Stegostoma tigrinum: one gene and its partner. The protein of the gene in region 1 interacts with the protein of each later gene in a biochemical or structural test. Links are inferred from orthologs where the notes say so. Each region holds a gene or a part of one and is shown on either strand. Other genes may lie near its edges.

The links. The genes of interacting proteins can lie anywhere in the genome.
Region 2: the proteins of fibroblast growth factor receptor 2-like (region 1) and fgf7 form a complex in vitro, tested with the Homo sapiens proteins (3 studies listed by BioGRID). The link is inferred for Stegostoma tigrinum from reciprocal best matches to the Homo sapiens genes FGFR2 and FGF7.

What each region holds. Positions count from the first base shown.
Region 1 is NC_081373.1:27,242,953-27,251,004, forward strand, and holds the start of fibroblast growth factor receptor 2-like, read right to left. Parts: upstream 3,293-8,052; 5' UTR 2,752-3,292; coding exon 2,726-2,751; exon of another isoform or gene 2,694-2,725; intron 954-2,693; coding exon 718-953; intron 1-717. UniProt on the Homo sapiens protein: Tyrosine-protein kinase that acts as a cell-surface receptor for fibroblast growth factors and plays an essential role in the regulation of cell proliferation, differentiation, migration and apoptosis, and in the regulation of embryonic development.
Region 2 is NC_081386.1:18,434,740-18,442,199, reverse strand, and holds the start of fgf7 (fibroblast growth factor 7), read right to left. Parts: upstream 3,001-7,460; 5' UTR 2,825-3,000; intron 2,225-2,824; 5' UTR 1,903-2,224; coding exon 1,614-1,902; intron 1-1,613. UniProt on the Homo sapiens protein: Plays an important role in the regulation of embryonic development, cell proliferation and cell differentiation. Required for normal branching morphogenesis. Growth factor active on keratinocytes.

The sequences.
Region 1 (8,052 bases):
TATGGGAGACTGCTTCGAAATCGGCATTGGCAATGAATTGCAAACCTCCCAAGACCAGTGAAATAAAATGAGACCACTGACAGAAGCCCTGACATACCGTCATTTAAAAAAAAGCGCTGCTGCTATCAGATCAAAGTCTTTGTCTTTGAACATTTCTAAAGCAACAGTATCTACCACTAGCTTCCTAGAATGGCCACATGGAATCTCTAGATGACTACCAAAATAATAAGTAATTCAAGCAAACCTTGCAGATGCTACATCATAATGATTTCTCAATCACTGGAAGTCACTCAGCAAAAGCTGAATTTGAAAGCATAACTAAATGCATTGTGTAGCATTTTACTTTAAAACCCGTTCTAAGTATTTAAATACTTGTTTGTGACTTCTGTGAAGAAATTAAGAAGTCTTACAAGAAACAAAACCTAACTTCAGAATAGAGAAACTTTGAAGGCATGGACTTTACAAAACTAAACCAATGTCAGAAAGCGTACATTAAATAGATGCGAAAGATCATGCTCAAAAACCTAATCTAGTAAAATAATTTTCAAATACTTCAGTTGTCCCAACATAAAGGAAGCAAGATACTGGAATTTAATTAACTGTAGGCCAGTTAAACAAAAAAAAAGCAACATGGCAAATTTCATTACAGCTGCCTTTATATTCCTTTTATGTAATAATAACGACCATTTAAGGTGTAATAGATGAAATTTAACTTACCTCCAGTTTCTGATGCACCATTATCAGCAGACTTAAACTGTGGCCTTGCTACAGCTAGTGCTGCCATGGTTAACATGGCCCAGCAGACAAAGTAACAACAACTAGGCATCCTTTTAGTGAAGATCCTTAGACCGCCGCTGGAACTCCATCTGGACTCTAATCCCATCTGAATTCTTGTGTATAGGCATGAAAGACGAATGTCCTCTTCTTTACTGTGTGGCTCCTCACTTGAAAAGCTGCAGAAAGAAGAATTAGCCTGTTAGGAGAATGACCGTGAAAGCTTATTTCAATTCAAAGTGGATACTTGCAGTTCAAAAAGTGAAAATCATGTTAGTTTTAAACTGTGACAGCACTGCTCACTGGTACAAAAACCATTGGTTAAAATTTGCAGTAACAAACATACTAAAGGACCTACTCGCAAAAAAAATTACTTCATCAGCCCTGTATATCATTTAAGTTGCGGGTAATCTTTAGTTTCTCATTTTCCCATTGTATCAAACTTAGAAAGGTTGAATATTCATGAGGTATGTTATGATGAAATGTGTCAGGACGATTAAAAAGACAGTGAAAAGAATTCATAATCAGTACTTCAGTTGTCTTCATTCAATTTCCCTCGCACTTCTTCTGCAATGAGGATTTTTAAGATCTTATTGGAAAGTGAGGTTAGAACTGCTGCACTAAAAAAAAGCAAGAAAAAACCTTCCTGGCAATTATACTTGTAAAATGAATGGATACGTGTTCACGTTTTTTCTTCCAGATGGTATTAAAGATGCAAATACAAAGGGACCCAGTATCACTCAATGGGCAGAACTGTCCTCCAGTACAAGGCATGTGAGATTGTAATGGCAAACAAAGCTGCACAACCTGAGGAATACACATTCTGACCTGAGTCAACACACAGGTCAAAACACATCAACACAGCAGCCTTACATAATTGGAAAAACAACCGATGAAAATAAAACCAATGTTTGAGAATAAACGCCTCTGACGAGTGATATCTGGCTCCAATCTCAACGATATAAAAAAGAATTACATGAACTCCATTTAACCCTTTCAATGACAAATTATATTACCTATGTTTGATTGAAGAGTTTGAATGAAATACAATTCCAGTTCTGGCTTTCTTCTAAAGTGACCTGCCAGCAACAGCTGAAATTAATGAAAATTAAATTTGTTCATACTGCACAACTCTATGAAGTTCCCCACTGGTGATCTCTGATTAAGTTACTTCTAGTTCAAAACGGTCTTTCAGTTCAGTGGACTTAAAATCCCTGAACACTTTTGATTTGCATTTTGACAACCACACAGTGCAGACAATCCAAAATTGCAAATCAGTATACTAATTAAAGTAACATCTAACTGTAAAACACTTGACACTTCACAATCTTAGACAGAACAGAGCTTCCTAATGGATCACAACCTTAACTTGAAAAAGAAACAATTTCTTTCCAAAATAAATTGTTAACTTTTTTTGAAAGTGTTTTAAATATTCATCTTATTTTAATGCACTCAGTGCAAAACTGGAATGATTCACAGGTAAATTTAGAACAGTGTCACACAATTAAAATTGTAATCCCTTGTAACAGACATAATTCGAATGATAGAAATGGCAAAAAATTTAATGTGGTTTTACGCCCAAATGTATTTTCTGGAAAACATACAGGTTGACAGGCTGTCAGCTGGTCTTTCTACAACCTAGAATTCATTCCACACTGGTCTAACTTTTCACACCATTGCATTGTCAGCAGACTTGGGATTGTAGCTAACTACAGATTTTTTCCTCATCTCAGAAGTAACAATTTATAGTCCTTCTATTGAAAGTGACATCAAAGCATGCTGTTAAATAATACAAGGCCAGCTCAATTGTATAAATTGCATCAGGGTATAAAAACTTAAGTTTTTCCTTACTTGAAGACATGAACATGTGGAACAATTTCAAAGATACAACACACTGTGAGAAGTAAAAAGAAAATTACGTTTAAAATGACGTGCTGGTCTGAAGAAATACCTCGAGTCGATCACAGCATTGAGCATGCAATTTTTCTCTTGAGTATTCACATATTGGCTCCTTGCAGTAGTACAGAAATACAAGCAATCCGGCACGGAGTTCCTCACACAGTGAAAGCTAGAGTTTTTTTTGAAAGGGAACTTTGTCTCCCTCCACTGACTACATTGGGGAGGAGCTGTCAACTAATCTGATTGATAGCCTCTGCCACCCGCTCTTCAAGCCATTTTCACCTCATCACATACCTGCCCAATTCATTCTAAACATGGGGAAAAGGCTGCTAGAAATGAGACAAGTACTGCATTCCTGCGAGCCAAATTTAAAAAAAACCTCAGTGCATAGTAAGCAAGTCAGCACTTGTTCTAGTGACTAATGTAATTTAACATCAAATAAGTTATCACACAGTTATTTCATTATTTTTCAGCCTCAACTCGTTTTCCTTGTTCTGTCCCTTAAGGCCACTAAAATGTAGCATTCAAATAAAACATGAAATAAGAATTTTTGATTTCAAACAGATTACATTCAAGTGCAATTTTTTGGCATACAATAATTGTCTGGAATCCAACACTGCTTGGTAGAATTACCTTTACTACCACAGCAAGAATATGACCCACGCTCCCCGCAGCAGGCGTGCGCACAAGATGAATTAAAGTAAGGATTGCGGGATGCCTTGGGTAGTCCTTTAGAAACAAAGCTGTGCCTGGACTACTTAGATCCAACTGTTTCTGAGGAAAACTCGATTATTTAGGATCAGTGAAAACATGACCCAAACCCACGGATCCAACATGCGGTTCTGGCACAATGCAGAGAGTGTCCATTTCTCTAAGCAAGTTCTTTTCTTATTAAAAAGTAATCTAAATCACAAGCGATTACATTTGTCTTGCTGGTGCGTCTGGGAGAAAACAAAGGCGGCAACGTTACAGAATAAAAGCAGATACTGCGACCCTGGTTCTGCTGGATATACTTCATTCACAAGTTCGCTGCAAACTCAAAAGCCTTCTGATGCATGTAAAGCTTTTCTTCCCCCCTCTCTCCCCTCTTAGGTCACTCCCCTTTTTTGTAATCTGAACCTGTTCCTGAACGGAGCTCCATCAAACAAACATTGCGAACGGACTCTGCCAATCAAATCAGCTTTCAGTAATGTTTAACTCTGCGGGCCAGGCTGTAACTCCTCTGGTTCACAGCATGTAGAATTTGGCGTACAGTTTGCTGGCATGTCCCCCAACTCAGTTTACTCCCTACAACATGAGCAAACGCTTCCAAGATTAATAGCTGTTGCATTCAAAATGGAATATAGACACAGGAAGGAATGGGACCCTCGGTCATTCACTAACATCTACCTATTCGTACTTTAGAAAGCAGCATTTTGGTTGCACCATGACAAGGCAGACAGCATTCTTTTCCTTTAACAGCAATTCAGGGAGTATTCTCCTTTAGGCTGAAAGAACGGCAAATCAATCAACAGCAGCTCATTTGGCTAAATGACTTACCATTAAAGTAATGCCTTGCGTTTCATAAAATGCAATTACACAACGTGGAATATAAAAAAATGGAGTGTTTGCAACAAAGAAAGTAAAAACAATGATCATAGTAAACAATTCCATTATGGGATATTTTGAGGGCAAAGCTTATCACAGCAAGCTTGGGAGATCCTTCACGCCAGTTATCTTTTTGAATAAAACCATAATCTATTCACTGACTTTGTTAAGTGATTGGCTGCTTTCGACCTCCTTCAAGGTCCCATTGAATGCGAATGGTAAACCTAATAAGCCTATTATTGAGACCCCCAGTGGAGTGTGAATGGACAAATAGACACTGCTCAACAGACTAGGAACCAAGGGCAGTAAAGCTATCAGAGTTCAGCCGGCAAAGAGGACAATAGCCTCAAGTCTCAAAAAAGAGCTGGGATTGACAAGGACCCCATTCAAAGTATCTGCATCCCACACCCCCCTCAAAAAGAGGGGTCCATTTTATTTTGTCTATCTCCAACAATATATCAAATCCTTGAAAGACCTCAGGGACTTCCTTTAAAACAAAACTGCCATTCTGAATTTTATACTGAAACATCAATAAGCAGCCAGGACATTAAGGACAGAGAATAGGTTGAACAAAGCTGCCTGTTAATAAGTACAGAAAAACTCTGATACGGTAGGAAAGAATAGGTTTTATCTCAATACAATAAAAATGTTATATTAGTTATTCATTTTTAAGCGAGAGAACACAATTAATCCCTCATTCCTGTTAGAATTACATTTACAAATGCCCTTTATCAAGATGCATACATGGCCATTGTAACGTTTACCAAGAAACACTGGACAATTTACCCTCCAATTTTATTACTTCTTCTGATGAAAAATTTGGATCATGCTTCAAAAGTGAACTTTCTCCTATTGACCAATTACTTCGTCCAAAGTGTCACTTGTTTACCATGAGAGTTGACATTAAGCATTGGCAAACTGTTCAACCATCAGAAGTATCACAGTTGAGCCCAATTCTACTCTCACCAAGCTTCAACAGATGAACATTACTAAAGATAATGGTAAAAGTAATTGAGCACTGATCATGAGCACAAATAATAGCTGCTTATTTGGCCTTCCATGATCCAGAGATATGGAGACCAATGAGACAGTTTCCAACAACAATTGACTGTAATTTATTTCAACGTAAATCAGATTTTGACCTGAGACTTTCCTAGATCACTTTACAAGGAAATTAATATTAAAATGTTAAACAAATGAAAAGCATAAATATTCATTTTACAAATAAAGTCTTGCATTTCTAATACAATCATAGAACAAATTTATGATACTGTGAATCAAAAATTCAGTTTATGAAGTGCCTTAAGAAGCATAATTGTATTATATAGTACCTTACGCTGAAGTCTTCCGAATACTCATTTTTTTCTCAGCTACAAGCTAACAGCAGCAGAATCTGCCACTACATTATCCAAATAGACAAGCTACTTTAGAATACTCATTTAGACAATGGTGCCAGAACGTCTGAACAGAGACTGTTCTCACACAGAATAAGTACTGTGTCTTTCAAACTGCTATTAATTACTTCAAAGTACACTTTGACAGTATGGGAGCGAGAAAAAACAAAAAAGGGAGGAGCTTTTAAAATGTAAACTATTTCTAAATACGGTTCATTTGTCTTGAGCATGCTGTGGTTTTGGAACTGTTACACAGGGAGCCTCTAATCTCAAAAGTCCTTTGGAGATATCCTAGTCCAAAACCAATCAGAAGATATACATATCTGAAACAGTTCTTAGTTACTGAAAAGCACTGTAACTGTCATAATAAACTAACTACACAAATTAGTAGTGATAGTGCTTATAACGAGTGAAGTAAATTACAGGATGAAAGCTACAGGTTTATAAAAGACAGCACATGCCAGTCTTAGACAGTGAACATTAGTTACTTGTAATAAAGTGCAGCATGTAAAATATGTCATGCATTATCTACCCCAAATGGCTGGATTCAGGGATGAGCTCTGTTCAAACTCATACTGAGTGATAAAGGAGAATAGATTAACTTGAAATGCCTGCCTGTTCTTCTTCCTTTCATCTCTGCTAGGAAGTAGGTGGCTTCTGCTCACTCATTTTTTCAGAGAGCAGCAATAAGATCATGAGATTGTATGGGAATCGTGATCAGCGAATGCAGATACATTCAGTTGTGCTTGACAAATTCGACGTACTGACAGGCTGGCACAAGATAATTGGCTGTCACATTATTTCTGGATTCATGTTTGATGAACTTGACATTTTAAATAATTAGAAATCAATGGAAAATATAAATTGTTCTGTTGCTGTACTCAATTCTGCCATTAGAGGCTGCTTCTTCATTGTTCGATTAGAATTCAGAAATCCACAGATCGCAGCACCGCAAAATTAGACAGATCTGCCCGAATTCTCTTGGCACCAGGTAGCACACAGACATGTTCAGTCCTACAAATTGTGCCCAATCATGGTCTTGCCCATTGCCTGAAAAACACTGTGTAATCTTTCTGATTTCACACTACCTGGGGACTCTGCTTGTGCCATTGGTTTAGTGCAAATTCAGGCAAAGGCTGCACTGGGTTTCTTGTTCTGCCACAGTAGAGTGTCACTGCCCAAACTTCTAATGATAATTTCCAGTAACCATTTCTCCCCTAACAGAAGCACATTGAAGAATTCTCTAAATCTAGACCGTGAAAATTCAGTATCCAGTATTTTACAGCATAAAACAAAACAATGAAAAAAGCGCAGCATTTTTCAATTCCACTCATTTAGAAAAAAAAATCACCACACATGATGTATTTTAGAATTATAAACCAAAAATTACTGCACTGGAGCTGTCTGAAACGTATTACTGGTTCATAACATAAATGGTTGTTCCACTTGATTTAACTCTCGCTCTTGAAACTTGCCCATCTGTTTGACTGACATCCCGAGTGCATTGGAATCATTTTCTCCCCCTCCTGTGCAGTTTTGAAACAATGCCATAAACACCTACAGAAGTATGACTGAAACCACAAAAATGTTGACTCTACCCTTACATATTAAACACCGATAGCTCCCTCTGTGGTAGATGTCTGAAGGCGGAGTTATCTTATCTCATTATCCTGAAGAAATCCTTATTTTAAAGTCACCACACCTCAAAAGGCGCCTAATTTACAAATGATAAAGAGACAGCTGCATGCTTACATTATTATGCAATTCCATAAATTCTTCTGTACTTAGTAGAATTGGGAACAATACACACGATTGTTGAGCTTATTTTACAGTACCAGAGACAATATACATCACAAACTGGCAATTCGGCCCAACCAAATTGTACTGAAAGTAAAGCTTCAATTCATACAACTAAATTAAGTGACAAAACTAGCAGAAAACTTATACTCGATTTTACAAAAAAAGTGTTAGGTTTTGTTAATTTTCTAATGATCTGAATTATTTTGAAGGAGGTTAAGGATCATTCGTGCAGGAGTAAACAATATTTTTTAGGAACATAACAGTTTCTAATGGACTAGGAGGTCCATTACAGCATAAAACAAAACAACGAAAAAAGCGAGACTTTAGGAGATAGGCAACTAAAGTCCAATTGTGTTTTCGAAACAACCTACGTACAGAATGGAGGGTATCTGAAATGGGGTCAGTCACACTACCAATCCCAAGTTGTTATGCTGTTTAAGGATGCGGTTTATTGATACTATTTCTAGCAACATAATTCTTCTCTCATTTTTTCAGATTATTACCTCTCCAACTATATCTCCTCAAATTGATCAGGCTTTATATTATTTACAATTTTGAGCACAGAACAGAAAAAATTTGGTGGTAACAAAGTTCATAT
Region 2 (7,460 bases), on another chromosome or scaffold:
TAACGTCAGCTTTTGTGCTCCTGAGATGCTGCTTGGCCTGCTGTGTTCATCCAGCCTCACATTTTATTATTTCCACTCAGCTGATGTTTGACTTTCAAATGAGGTGCAAATTTAAATATTTGCAATTCTTTTAAAATCTGACATTTTTGTGTTTTAGACTTATGAGCAGAGGAAACAATGTGCAATGGAATATACTACCATATTCAAGCGTATCTTCCAGTGGATCAAATAAGGTTCTGGTGACATCTTTGGAGCGTTCATGATTTAATAAACCTCATAATTGGCAAGACTGGCACGATGCAAGTTAGTTGGGGACAGGGAAAGTAATAAGAAAAAGAATTGCAAAAATACAGAACAATCTGTAATTTCACTGGACGAAAATTAATGAGTTTCAAATTGATTTAAAGAATTGTCTCATGTTAGGTCCAAATTCCCTTTTAAAGAATCAGTTATGTCATCAACTGACAGGTTTTTTTTTTCTGTTTTGCGATACGGGGGGCCTTGGGTTGTTTTTTATTTCCCCCTTTATATTCCATCTTTCTAGATCAACATTGCCTGCTTCTGAGATGGTTTTGCCTTACTTTCTCACAAGCCATCTTGACTCTTTCCTTTAACTTTCTTGTAAAGTGATGTGTGAAATGCAGTGTTGTTTTGACAGGTATGGCAAGGAATTAATGCTCCTGGGTTATGAATTACTGTATGGGAGCTTTGGATTTGCTGCATTATGCTTGTCAACCATTGTTTAATTTACAGCCTTTAGACGCATAACTATGTTTTCATATAACCATACCTCCTCCTTGCTGCTGAATGGGTAGTACTGCACCCATTCTGCAGTGATCACTGTTTGTGTTGTGTGATGTAGTTCCACAACTGTAACATTAAATAGAAAAGAATAACTCGAATGTTTTTAATTAACAGATTTTGAAGTAGTTAAGACATGTTCCCCTAGTGACCACCTCAGATATCAGACATTATTGTCAGAATGATATTTAGAAATAAATAATTGTTGTTATTTAAAGTTAATTCCCAGTTGGAACAGCACCTTTGAATTTTGATTTAACGTGGGTAACAATAAATTACTTTAAATGGATTATATTCAGGATATCAAAAAAGTTCAAACCTTTCATTTTGAAGTTACATAGTTTCAATGCGTTAGCATACAAATCGTTTTAAATTTCCCGCTGAAGAGATCTAGCATTCAAAGCTGTGCATGCTGAAGTAATGAAATGTCACAGAGTCCCATTTTCCCAGTAATCTATTTTTCAAATGTCAACTTACATGAAAAACAGATAACACTAATGATTTTTGCTTTGGCCTAAAGTGTTATCTGATATCTCTGTTCCTTGTCAGTTTGAATAAAAGGGATAATTTTTGCAAACGTTTACCAGCTGTCAACTTAATACATTAGCAGAACTAAAATATGCTGGTTACATATCGCTAAGAGCTACACATTTAAAAAAAAACGAGCACCAGATGTTTGAAGCGCACACAGACTATTTTGGATAGATTCTAAGTTTGTTGTTTAAGATCCAGTAAACCTGAAATTACGCACTCATTTCGTTGGCTAAAACCTTTAACATGTAACATTCCAAGCTAATTAAAATGATACTTACAGTAATTGCAGCTAGGATTAGCTGTACCTTTGATTTTGCCCTTTTTATCAATTCTCAGATAGAACTGTGTTCGACAGAAAAGTTTCCTTATTCTTACATCTCCACCTTCCATGTAGTCGTAACTTCTGGTGTGCCGCTCAGGACTGGAGGAACAGTTCACGCTCGCAGCTAGTTGGTCTGGAGTCATGTCATTGCAAGCAAAAGACACACTCCCTGCTAGAAGGATACAATGAATGTGTAGTCTGTACAGCAGAGTTGGCAGGATCCATGTTTGCATCCATTTGCGCATTATAGTGCACTGCTCTGGGTTCTCATGAATAACATACTGCAATTTAAAGTATGAATCAGGCGGATGCTGCTAGTTTGGGGGTCTCAGCTTCTGCCTGGACTCCAGAACCTTGGGACTCTTTTTATTGGTGGCAGTTGCAGTTTTAGAATATGTGTAAGCTTTCCTGAAAAAGTTTTATGGTGCTGAGCCAGGGTTTCTTCAGAGAACTGATGCACTGTCACTCTCTTCTATAAACAAATCAGTTTGCAGTGGTCTTGAATGTCTTGATCGTCCTTACTATTAGAATCTTCCTTTTGTTCAGAGAGGTTTGACGATAATAAAGCTGCAAGCAGAAGTATCACTTAACTTTAACAAGCCATTACAGTCAGCTGTTACAAATAAATTACAACCATAGCAACAAGCTTGGAGGTGTATTCCAAAGATTTTTTTTAAACATTCTAGCTGATTGCCAGTTTCTGGTTTGAAAAAAAATGTAAAGCCAAAAAAAGTACAGTAGGTAGTTTGCTTTTCTAATGACTGCTCTATTCTGCAGTTTCAGTCCTTTACTGTATGTTTTAAAAGTGTGATGTTTGTAGCATGGTATGCATTCTATGCTAGCAGTCTACTGCTGTTTTAACTACTCTGCTAAACTCTATTGCATAATCAATTCCCTAAGCTTCTGTACACTTGTCATCTTGCATGCATTCATTCATTAGTAATCACAGCACTTTTTATGTGGTGAACCAAATGCTTTCCATGGAACGTCCCATGCTTCCCACACGGCATTCTTGTTTCAACGTCTAGACCGGCTGGAAACATTCAGAACTACCTCAATTTCAACTACACATGTTTAATCTGAACTAGCATAATTTTTAAAAATTCTTATGGCCATAATGTTTTGTATATGTAACATAATAAAAGACAATTTGTTTATAAAACTTACTTTCGTTTTTGTTGAAGACAAACTGTGCATAAAAGAAATCCATTGCTTTCCCCCCTCACACCATCAGCCTGTGTGTCGTTGTGGACAATTGCCTAGTCCAGGAAGATTCCAAGAGAATCATAATTGTTTCCATAAATCAAGTGTTAACACAAGAGGGATTTTCTGGGCATCTTGAGCCTGTTGTTGTGCAGTTCTGTTCGATAAATGCCTTTCCCTGACCTCACTTGGAAGTAATTAGATCTTAGCCAGTCAGCTGTCAGTTGGATACACGAACAAAGAAAAAGTGAGGTTCCTTTTGTTAGATGTCCACATGGTCATCAGAGGGAGCTATGAACTCACAGAGGTCTTTCTTAATTCTTAAACAATTCTTTATTCTCTGTTTGGTAATACAGATCTGCTCCAATCATGGTAGAAAAATGTGCTCTGCACCTTCAAATGTATTCTGTTCTGGGGAACAAACAAGATTCAAGAATGAACCTATGGTGTATAGAATACAAGTCATCCATCACATTAATTGTGTTTTTGGGGTGTTTATGTTATCTTGGTACATCTTGATAGGTTGAAATGCATAACTGTATTAAAGCATTTGAAAATATTTAACTGGCCAATTGTTGTTTTCCCAGACATGTTCATCTTGAAATTTTTTTGCTGTGTCACATGAAATAGCAGCAGAAACATTTATGATACAATCCGCCTTTTTTCATGTAATCAGCAAATGTACCTAGTGTGTATCAAAGCTAATAATGAACTTCAATGAGGCTTTTTTTTTGGTACTGTGGAAAGAAAAGTTTTTTTTTTGCTAGCTTTTTAATGAGTTCAAAGCCTTTGTAAAGACTCACATTATGACCACTTGGACTGATTCTGCAAACTGAGGGAAAATTCTATCATCATTCTGAGTGACCACCAACAATGTGAAATTTTGATAACAAAAGATACTTCAGTGGTACTAATAAGTTATGAACTTTTTTTTACGATTGTGAAGGACCCACAACTTTTAACTGCTGCATGCATAAGTGAGTTATAGGCTTTCACACACAGCAGGAATCCGTGGACCTATTTATTGCATTGAAATATTCTGGACATTTGATGGGTATGTGGCTCCTCTAAGATCAAAATTGCTTCTAAAGTACAGTAAGTTTCATTGAATAAGTATTATTTTATGTGCGTCAATGTTTCAAATTACTAATCATTCTCTTGCATAAAAGCCAACTTTCATTTTACATATTTAATCTAATTAATATGTTAATGATTATTGTAAAAACAGATTGGCATGCAAATTGTGCATGATAACTACATGAAATAGGTGTTTTTGTTATGAAAGAATCCAGTATAGTTTTCATTAGAAAATCGAAATGCATTTATTTGTATTACATTTCATCACTTGACACTTGCAAAACTTTCCATTTTAATGTATTTTCCTATCTCTGGCATCCTCCCTCAGGGAAGAGTGTTAAACTGAGAAGTTGACATTTATCAGCTCATAAACATCTCCAGGGACACCATCATGACCTACCAGAGAGTAGTATGAAGCATATGATAAGTTACACTTTTCTGTCACATTTTTCCTCTTTTCTTTGTCAACCCAACCCAGTAAATATGCCCTCTAGGGGAAATCTAAGTATGATATTTGTTTGTCAGGACCAGGAATAAAATTTATGGTTCCTGATTGACTGGTCTAATAGTTTGGTGTCATGGCTTCAGAATCTACTGGAATTCTTTGATTTCTAATCTATCACAGCTTTGTCTCTTTTAAGTTCCAGACTCTATCCATTCTTTTTCCTTCATTACAATGTGTCATCGCCAAGTATTAGTGTAATGATGCAAGAGCTTTGTTTGTTAAATATTAAAATACATATTGTATCATAAACAGCAATCTGTAAATTATTGTAAGGTTTTTTTTATTATGAGAGCGTTTTCAATTTAATCAACCTATTCAGAATTCTGAAGGCAGCATCTAGGAACTGCATGATAGTTGGCCTCATGTTTCTTCATTGCCTTTTGATGTTTAGATGTTTCCCAACTCCAGGATGTAAAACTGACTTTAGGAAACTACACTCATGAAGCCAGATCCTTATCACTTATTTTCATAGTGCATCACATTTTGGCTGCATCACGCTGTATCATAGTGTTTCTCCACGAGGTTGAGTTCTGTCTTGTTACTCAGAAGCGTTTTTCTCTTGATAACATGCTGAAGAGTCCTTCAACACCCTGGGGCATAGTCAGTCCTCTTTGTAAATTTCTCCAGGCCAATTTAAGTGTCATATGCAGTGGATTGTGAACCACTGTTTAAGGCCAGAACCTGCAAATTTTCTCTGATGATGACAAAGAAGCTGCAATCTTGAAGGTCAATGGCTGCTTCCAGGCAGAAAATCCTTCAAGAAGAGGACTTGTTTTTTGTTCACATGAGGAAGGCAACAGGAAGCTACCTTATTTCTATTTCTTCCTGGTTTTATTGCTTACTGCTTATTCAAGTTGAAAACAGGAGGCTGTAACCAGCAAATGAAAAAGAAGGTGCAGGACTGTGAGGAACGGAGCAATGAATGGGAAATAAGCATTCAGGCAGACCACTACTACAGCATGCCAAGTCTTGTAGGATTACAGAGCCAAATATCAGTAGAGAAGAAAATACAGTGGGTAAAAGTATTACATACAGGTGAGAAATAGAGGTCTGTGAAAATAAATGTCTGACTATACTTAATGTTAGACCAGAAATGACTACAAAGGTGAATATCTTGGTGAACAACATTAATTGGAAGTAGCTGTTCATCATTGACATCATACTATAATTGCACTACAGATTGATAAGTCATCAATAGGATGATAGCACTGCAATATGAATGTTTAATCTGAGACCTCATAAACATTGTACCCAAAGATTTATTTCCTAAATAAACAGAGAAAAATAAAACAGAACAAATAACAGAGAAATAAATTGAATTGCAGGCAAATAAAATGTAGAGAAACAGCGAGAGGAATAAAGTGTGGAAAAGCCAAAGTAAATTAACTGAGAGAAGCAAGTAGAAAAATGTCAGAAAAAGCTATTAAAACAAACAGGAAGAATAAGAGGTCATCATCATTTTTGCGGAGAATTGGTGTTGTGTTATATTGGGCCATAAGAAATTAATGCACGAATGTCAAGGTAGATTTGTTAACTATACAAAAATTCTTGATTTATGAGCTATAGAACTAACCATCACATTCATCATGACCAAAAATATGAAACACCCAGGGAGTATCTCATTGAACTGCTATCACAGGAACATACTAGAAATGCTGAATAATAAAAAACCCAAAGTCTGTTTACTTTGCCTTGTGCTATTTTGGGAGACACATTACACGGAGATAAGGTAGTTATTGAAATCATAATCGATGTCAATCTGTTAGTGTGCGCACCTGGGCATGAGAAGCATCTGAGTGTTGAAGAGTTTTGGGGAACCATGTCATCAAATCTTTTTTGGAATCATGATGACTTTGTCAAAGAGGACAGGCAGGACTTGGACCCAAAAGTCCAGTTCCATTTCAGATTGATCGCACTTTTGATAGTACGGTAAAGATTCAGGTTTTGACTCACAAGTGAGAGAAACCAAAATTCAGCCCATGTAGTGACTTTCTACAAAACAGGGTACCAGGCCTGACTCCATCCTGCATCAGTCATGGAGCAAAAAATCAGACCATTTAGGGCACTTTTTCCTAAAGCAGTGCCCCAAGCCAGGAAATTTCTCAAGTCAAGCCACCCAGCTCAGGAGCAAAATCCACCCACATATATCCAAAGTCATCTTTTTCTGCTTAAGCATGCTGCACATGGCACATGTAGTGTCTCAAATTATTTCAAGTGCTGTATTCCAAAATGTTATGAATGTTATCTGAAAAAAAACCCTCAAAAAAAGCCTCTGTCATTGCTTGTGAACAAGTGACTCTTGAGTGTTAAAAAGGCTTTGCATCCTTAAACCTCTTGCTTGTGACATTAACAAGAGTGGAGATGGCAGGAAATGCCCAAGATTTCTGCCAAGGCAGATAACAAGTTTTAAACACAACCGAAAAACTGCATTACTTTCTGGAATAAGAATTTACAACTTCATTGTTCCCTGTCTCGGCCTCCTTCGTTAGATTGTCATTGCAAGGCCATAAATTATATCATTAATAGGTATATTTTCATACAAACTTACAAAATTAAATGATTGCAGCAGGACTAATTATATTGTATAAAACTGAGCAATTTCACAAGCTCTTTAAGTCAGGTGGGTAGGTTCATGCCGAGAAGGGACTTGTTTTTCCTAATTTGTGAAGAATCAGTGCTTCTCTCTTTACTGGTATATTACTGGCTTTTTTACTGCAAATCGATAATGCTATAGTAATGATGTGACTTCCCACGTCCCAGCACTTTCCTGTCAATGTAAGATAGTGTCAATTACAGGTTGTCACACATGTGCCAGTATAACTGAAGGCAAATCTTCATAGATTTCCGTACACTTAAAGTTAAAAGTTTGATAATTGCTCCAAGAGTTTTTCTCCTGCTGCCTGGACTCAGAATGTGGTGGAGAATAACTTCAGTCCATGATTGTAGAGACCATTTTCAATATTAGTCAACATTGTTCTCCAAGTGTTATCCATTTTCCTGTCATTGGTTAAGGCTTTT